2 linked regions of the Sus scrofa genome follow. The protein of the gene in region 1 interacts with the protein of each later gene in a biochemical or structural test. Links are inferred from orthologs where the notes say so. Each region holds a gene or a part of one and is shown on either strand. Other genes may lie near its edges.

What was found.
Region 2: the proteins of EIF4G1 (region 1) and EIF4A1 form a complex in vitro, tested with the Homo sapiens proteins (3 studies listed by IntAct, with this or other methods). The link is inferred for Sus scrofa from reciprocal best matches to the Homo sapiens genes EIF4G1 and EIF4A1.

Annotation. Positions count from the first base shown.
Region 1 is NC_010455.5:122,202,022-122,206,308, forward strand, and holds the start of EIF4G1 (eukaryotic translation initiation factor 4 gamma 1), read left to right. Parts: upstream 1-1,484; 5' UTR 1,485-1,637; intron 1,638-2,089; exon of another isoform or gene 2,090-2,457; 5' UTR 2,458-2,514; intron 2,515-2,731; 5' UTR 2,732-2,765; coding exon 2,766-2,825; intron 2,826-3,061; exon of another isoform or gene 3,062-3,121; coding exon 3,122-3,208; intron 3,209-3,693; coding exon of another isoform or gene 3,694-3,714; intron 3,715-4,259; coding exon 4,260-4,287.
Region 2 is NC_010454.4:52,871,364-52,874,630, forward strand, and holds the end of EIF4A1 (eukaryotic initiation factor 4A-I), read left to right. Parts: intron 1-433; coding exon 434-602; intron 603-926; coding exon 927-1,036; intron 1,037-1,188; coding exon 1,189-1,332; intron 1,333-1,409; coding exon 1,410-1,547; intron 1,548-1,682; coding exon 1,683-1,772; intron 1,773-2,037; coding exon 2,038-2,117; intron 2,118-2,216; coding exon 2,217-2,361; 3' UTR 2,362-2,573; downstream 2,574-3,267. UniProt on the Homo sapiens protein: ATP-dependent RNA helicase which is a subunit of the eIF4F complex involved in cap recognition and is required for mRNA binding to ribosome.

The sequences.
Region 1 (4,287 bases):
GTGATACCACTGGGTCCTTAACCTGCTCTGCCACAAGGGATCTCTGGTAGTACCTTGGTTCTGACTGTTGTTCAAGAGTGATTTCTGAGCTGGGAACGAATTGGCATGTAGGCAGTAATTGATTTTTATTTATAAGTTTGCTTAGGGAGAAAGAGAAATGAGAAGACCAGAGAAGGGAGCCAGCCAGTCAGACATGATAAAGTCACAGAACTCAAATGAAGAGCATCACAGAGAACACTCTAGATCTTTCATTTTTCTATGGTTCCTCCTCTATGTGTCTATTCTGCTCTCCTTTCTTTGGAGCATCAGTTACTCATCCAATGGGAATAATGATACAATCCATTTTGTAAGAAGTTGTAAGGATTGAGATCACAAGGGTCATATATTCAGAGTGACCAGTTCATCATTGGTGCCAAAGAAATTGTTTTCCTGTGAGATTATATGTGTTTGGATACAGAAGGGGGCAGATGTGGAGGAGAGAGAAGAAATAGCCTTTGCTAGGCACCTAGGCACTGTTTTAAGCACTTTCACAGGAATTAACTCCTTTAAATCCTCACAATGGTGGGTAAAAGTTCAAACTTGAGCTAGACTGCCTAGTTTCAAGTATTTCCTTTTTTTTTTTGTCATGCCCATGGCTTCCTGCAGTTTCTAATTTCTAAGCTAGGGATCAAACCTGTGCCACAGCAGTGACACCAGCCAATGCAGCTGAGCCACACAGAAACTCCAAATAGTTCCATTTTACAACCTATAAGTAAGTAGTAGAGTTTGGATTAAATTCTGGGGCTGACTAGGAGTAAGTAGATTTGACTCTAGTATGTCCCTTCAGGCAGTTTAAAATCTTTTGGCTACTGGGCAGGGAGGGGTCTTGGGATTACTTGTTCCACCACTATTTGAAGTTTGTGTGATTGCTTTTAGTTCCTCCCTGGGAATGGCCGATTTTTATTCTTTATAAAAGACAAATCTAGTAGTTCCCTTATTAAAGATCCCACGTTGTCACTGCAGCGGCTCGGGCTGCTACTGTGGCACGGATTCCATCCGAGGTCAGGGGACTTCCATATGCTGGAAGATGTGGCAAAAAAAAAAAAAAAGAGACAAATTTACTAATTCCCTAGTTAGAATGTTTCAATCCTTATTAAACATATAAACATTCAGTTTAATAAGTCTTTTATTGATCTAATCTACATTACTTTCAAAGGCTGCCTAACGTGTGTTTCTTTCCGCATTTGTACCATGATTTACTTCGGCAGGACTGAGTCTTTAATTTCAGTATTCTCAGCCCCCTGCCAGCACTTAGCCTAGCATTCAGTATGCACTCAATAAATGCCTGCTCAAAGTATGAATGAACTAAAGAATCGCGGAACTGAGTCGCAGAGGGGGATCGGTCTGGGAATTCCAAAGTTCGGGAGGGGACACGGGGGCGGGCAGTGGCTGTCACATGACTAGGCGGGGCAAATCCCATGTGCTTCGCGGCACCGGGCAAGGCTCCGCCCTCTGCGCCGGTCACGTGGGGGCGCCGGCTGCGCCTGCGGAGAAGCGGTGGCCGCCGAGCGGGATCCGTGCGGGGAGCCGGAAATGGTTGTGGACTACGTCTGTGCGGCTGCGTGGGGCTCGGCCGCGCGGACTGAAGGAGACTGAAGGTAAAGCCGCCATGTCCGGGCCCGACCCGGCCCCCCCATCCCCTCCCCCCGCATCCGCCGCCATCCGGGCCGGGACCGGCTACCCTGCGCCGCCTCCCCGGCGCCCTGGCTCCTCGGCCCAAGCCCGGGCCCCGGGCCGCCAGGGCCCGATCCCCGGCCCACGTGTGCCCGGCCTGGCCCGGCCTGGCTGCTGGGTGGGGGTGGGGGAGCGCGGGGCCGGAATATGCGGTCCCCGCGGGCTGGGAGGGCGCCGGGTTTCCCGGCTGCTAAGTGCCACCTCGGCCCGACCCGAGGAGGCCCTACGGGCGCAGGCACCGCGACTCCCGGCCCGCCGCCCCCTCCCCCCTTTGCGGCCCGGCCGCCGGGAAGTGACACGTTGTTCTTTGGCACTGGCCGGCGCTGCGCAGGGAGGGCGCAGGGGAGGGAGGCGGCGGCGGCGGGCAGGGAGGAGCCCCCGGCCCCGCCCGCCCTCCAGGCCGACCCTCACTTGCTTCAAACCGGCTCTTCTTCGGCCGCCGCCCGCCTGGCCTTTTACGGCCCGACTGCCGCTTTTCCTGGCCTCCACTCCTGGGCGGCGGCAGGCCTCGCCTCTAGCCCCGTGCGGGTGCACCCGCGGCCACCCGCGGCAGGCGTGCCTTGTGTGCCCCTGGGCCAGGCCCCGAACCCGGTGTCCCCGGGTGGGGGGTGGGGACACCACGGCCGAAGCTGCTAGCTCCGTTTGTGATCCGGGAGCCTGGTGCCAGCGAGACCTGGAATTTCCGGTCTGGTTGGTCTTGGGCCCCGCGGAGCCAGGTTGATACCCCCCACCTCCCAACCCCAGGCCCTCGGATGCCCAGAACCTGTAGGCCGCACCGTGGATTTATTCTTAACCGAGGGGGTGAGTGAGGGGCTGTTTCAGCAGATCAGGGGGGGTGGTTGGAGCTGCGGGTCTGACAAGGTGTCGGTGGGGACATAGGCTGGGTTTTATGCTCCTTCACCTTTTTGGCGATTCCGGGGCTTGTTGTGGGACCCAGACCTTGCTTCATCCCTCCCCCACTCCATTTGCCTTAAGCTTGGGTCCCTTCCCCTTTCCGAGCTCCGCTCTTTCCCAACAGGTGCTGGGGGGACCCTGATGTGGCACCAAATGAAATGAACAAAGCTCCACAGCCCACAGGCCCCCCACCTGCCCCATCCCCTGGACTCCCACAGGTAATTAGGGAGGAATTAGCAGCAACTGGGGTGGGGGTGGGGGAGACCAGGCAGCCGGGTCAGGAACAGGTTCCAACCTCTGGATTTTCCCACCCCCTTCTGTGTCAGGGCAAAGTGCAGCTTCCTGCTGCCAAATTGAGGCAGGGCCCCGGGGCTGTTCTTAGGGGCTGTCTTGGGGAGGGTATATGTGGACTGTTGAGGCTCTTGCCACAGCTCTGCTCCCCTTACTTCACCAGCTTGAGTTTCTGCCCCACCTGGGTTTCCCCTCTTGCTGAATTCTGGTCTCCCCCCTTCAGCCAGCGTTTCCCCCGGGGCAGACAGCACCGGTGGTGTTCAGTACGCCTCAAGCGACACAAATGAACACGCCTTCTCAGCCCCGCCAGGTGAGGGGCTGTGGGGAGGGGAGTAGGGGGCCTGGGTGGGAACCATGTGAAGCTTAGGCCAGTTTGGGCCTAGGATGGAAACTATGGAGGCCTTGTACCTGCCCCAACTTCCTGACAGTTGCTTTCATGCGGTTCTGCACTTTGCACTGTTGATTACTTACGGTGGCTGGCCCCTTGGAGTATGTAGTTGGTGGGGATGGCATTCCTAGGGGTCCTGGTGCCTTGGGGGCAGTGCTTTGGGCCCTGCTGCCAACTCCTGCTTTCCTGTTTTCTTTTACTGGGAGGTTGCCATTGCTCCATTCCCCATCCATCTTTCTCTTTTGGACTGTGGCAAGATAAACACTCCAGCTAGTTCTTGCCTTTCTCTGTTCCCTAAATTCTTCCTCACAAGTGGGAGAGGATTCTTGTCCTGCTTCCTTCATTTTCTTTCCCTCCTCATCACCTTGGGGATAATTCTTTTCTTTCCTGTCCCCATGTGCTCTCAGGGAGGATTCAGGTCTCTGCAGGTAATACCCCATTGCTAATCCTGAACTCTCTCCGGGTCTCACCCTTACACTCTGCCCTAGTCAGGGGCTAGACTCAGTCTGGGTCCTCAGTCTGAGGCTGACCGATGCATGTTAGGGGCTAAATCTTGTGTAGTTCACATCTGGGAACTGGGAGACTGTTGCATGTTAGCGGTGAGCTCCTCAGTACCTTAGGGTGGAGCAGTGCATGCTGGGGAGTATGTTGCTGAAAAAGGCTTTACTTAGGCATGATGCATCTGGGTGTTAGGAAGCCTCTGCTGAAGGATAGCCTGGTGAGGTGATCTGAGTATGCATGGCAGGGAGGGAGTAAATATACAGAGTGCCAAGTGTATACCTGAGTTTGGAGGGCGTATGTGAGTATAAGAGGCCACTTAGCCATCACTTGGTCAAGTGAGTCTTGGAAGTGTTGGTCTTCATGCTCCAAAGCCCCTGGTACTTCTCTCCTGACTAGAGACATAGTGGAATGGCCCTTTTGCTGTCCACCTCCTCCCCTTCCCATTGCCAACTGCCTTCCTCCCTCCTGACAGCACTTCTACCCTAGCCGGGCCCAGCCCC
Region 2 (3,267 bases), on another chromosome or scaffold:
TTTTCCTGGGTCTTAGAGGAAAAGGATCAGAGACACCTGTCTCATAAATTGACTGTTTTCTTGCCTATGAAGTGAGTGTTTAATAGTGCTTGAGTTGTTGGGAAAAATAAATTCATAAGCATTTTTTCCCCCCTGGGGCCACACCTGTGGCATACGGGGAGGTTCCCAGGCTAGGGTTCCAATTGGAGTTGTAACTGTCGGCCTACACCAGAGCCATGGTAACATTGGATCCAAGCTGCCTCTGCTGCCTATACCACAGCCCACGGCAATGCAGGATCCTTAACCCACTGAGCAGGGCCAGGGATCGAACCCACAACCTTATGGTTCCTAGCCAGATTTGTTAATCACTGAGGCACGACAGGAACTCCAGTACATAAGCATTTATGAGATGGAGCCTGGTGACTATAGCTAACACAGCATTTTATCTTTTCAGATACAGAAGGTGGTTATGGCATTAGGAGATTACATGGGTGCTTCCTGCCATGCCTGCATTGGTGGTACCAATGTGCGTGCTGAGGTGCAGAAGCTACAGATGGAAGCTCCCCACATCATCGTGGGTACCCCAGGCCGTGTGTTTGATATGCTTAACAGGAGATACTTGTGTGAGTGTCTCAATTTTCCAGGTCTCTGGGTCACTTCCTTAAGCATGTTTTCCCAGTTTTTTTTTTTTTTTTTTTAAGCATTGCTCTGTGATGAACCCCATGCGTGTCATCTGAGCCTGGCTTCCCTGTCAGCTCAGCCCAGGTAGTGTTCTACTTCTCAGGGCTGTTGTCTGGCCTTGCAAGGGGCTCACAGGCAAAGGATCAATCTTTGTATTCTGAGAGCAGACCACCTATCTCCTATTCTTTATCTGGGAAGAAGTGAAAGTATATCTTACCTTTTTTAAATACCTGTTGGTGTGTGTGTGTTTTTTTTTCTTTTGTTAGCTCCCAAATACATCAAGATGTTTGTATTGGATGAAGCTGATGAGATGTTAAGCCGAGGGTTCAAGGACCAGATCTATGACATATTCCAAAAGCTCAATAGCAACACCCAGGTGAGAAGAACATTGGGGTTTTGCTCGTGTGAGTGGTGATTCCTTTGTACGGATGGTAGTGTTCTCGGGGTGAGAGACCATTACAAAGTGCCAGACAAACCATAAAGCTCTGGAGGACCTGCTACCTCCCCTGAGACTGTTGTCCCCATTAGGTGGTTTTGCTGTCAGCTACAATGCCTTCTGATGTGCTGGAAGTGACCAAGAAGTTCATGCGGGACCCAATTCGAATCCTTGTCAAGAAGGAAGAGCTGACCCTGGAGGGTATTCGCCAATTCTACATCAATGTGGAACGCGAGGTGGGGCCCAGTGCAGGAGGCGGGCCTGGCAGGAAGGCGGGGGGATAGCCCCTGACTGATTTCTCCCCCACCCCCAGGAGTGGAAGCTGGACACCCTGTGTGACTTGTACGAAACCCTGACCATCACCCAGGCAGTCATCTTCATCAACACCCGAAGGAAGGTCGACTGGCTCACGGAGAAGATGCACGCCCGAGACTTCACCGTCTCTGCTATGGTGAGCGCCCGCCGCCACCGCTGCGGCCGTGGTTTCCCAGCAAGAGGGGGGCTGTCACAGGCCTACTTCCCCAGCCAGTTCTCGCTGAACCAGCACACCTACCTGCTAACAGCCGCCTTCTGTTTCCTGTTGTAGCACGGGGACATGGACCAGAAAGAACGCGACGTCATCATGAGGGAGTTCCGCTCGGGCTCCAGCAGAGTGTTGATTACCACGGATCTGCTGGTGAGTAGAAGCTGAGTAGAAGCGAGTGTGAGAAGACTGGGGACCAAGGGCGGATCCAAGGTGATTCCCTCTCCAAGGGGCCTGCTTGTGCCCCTCTTCTGGAAAGTAGCAGCTTGGAATAACATCTGGCAGGCCTGAGGCTCTGGCGGCGAGGGGCTGTAAACATCCTCTGCCTGCCTTGGGCTGCCCACACACACGCCTCTCCTGGACAGACTCCTCCCTCTCCCTGGAGTCACCCACTGAAGCCGCCTTCTCTCCCACACAGGCCAGAGGCATCGACGTGCAGCAGGTTTCCTTAGTCATCAACTATGACCTTCCCACCAACAGGGAAAACTACATCCACAGGTAAAGACACCTGCCAGGCTGCCCCCCCCCGCCCAGTCCTCCCTGCACAGCAGCGCCCCGGTCTTCCCCATCTTCCTCATACTCTAACTTGTTTCCCAGGATCGGTCGTGGCGGACGTTTTGGCCGTAAGGGTGTGGCTATTAACATGGTGACAGAAGAAGACAAGAGGACTCTCCGGGACATTGAGACCTTCTACAACACCTCCATCGAGGAGATGCCCCTCAATGTTGCTGACCTCATCTGAGGCGCTGCTCTGCTCTCCCAGCCCCAGCCAGGGATCCGACCTGTCCTTGAGGGGGGCTGAGGAACAGCAGCAGGGGGGAGGGAAGGGAGCCAAGGGATGGACATCTTGTCATTTTTTTCTTTTTTTTTTTTTTTCTTTGAATAAATGTCACTTTTTGAGGCAAAAGAAGGAACCATGACCATTTTAGACACCCTTTTCTTTGGGGCAGGCTCTTGCCCCAGGCGCCGGCTCTTCTCCCAGAAACACTAATCCATTTCCCTAACCTCGTCAACTTTCAAACCCAAGGCTCTCCCCACCCCAGCTGAATTCTGAAAATAATTCAGTGGGGGCTGTAATGCCCCTCCACCTCATTTGCTGGACCAAATCTGGAGGGAGAGCCCGAGTTAAGTGGCCCAGGGCACTGTCCCCAGGTGGGGGGGGAGCAGGGGAAAGAACATGGTAGCCATTTTTACATTGTTTTTGTATAGTATTTATTGATGCAGGAAAACAAACACAAAATTCTGAATAAAATAACTTGGAAACTGCTTTGGCTTCTCATTTCTTACCTCTCCTTCCCCTACCCCGCTACTGGGTAGGTACAGCTCTGCTCCCCTGCTGAACTGGGTAACCGGTAACATGACTCTTAGGAAGGGGCTGGGCCAGCACAGTCATAAGCAGCTCACATGTCTCTAGGCAAAGAGGAAGTGATCTGAGCCCAGAGAAAGGGGAAATCAAAGTTGTGATCTTTACACCCCGTTGAGCTTGGGGGGTGGGGGGCTGTGGCTGCAGGCTCTGGTCCTTTGATCACCTGCAACCCCTGAGCATATTTTCCTGAGGTGGACAAGAGTCTCCCAGGATCGACTACCCCAAACTCCCTTCTCACGTAACACAGTGCCCACTTTGGAAATGCCAGGGCTAATCACTAGG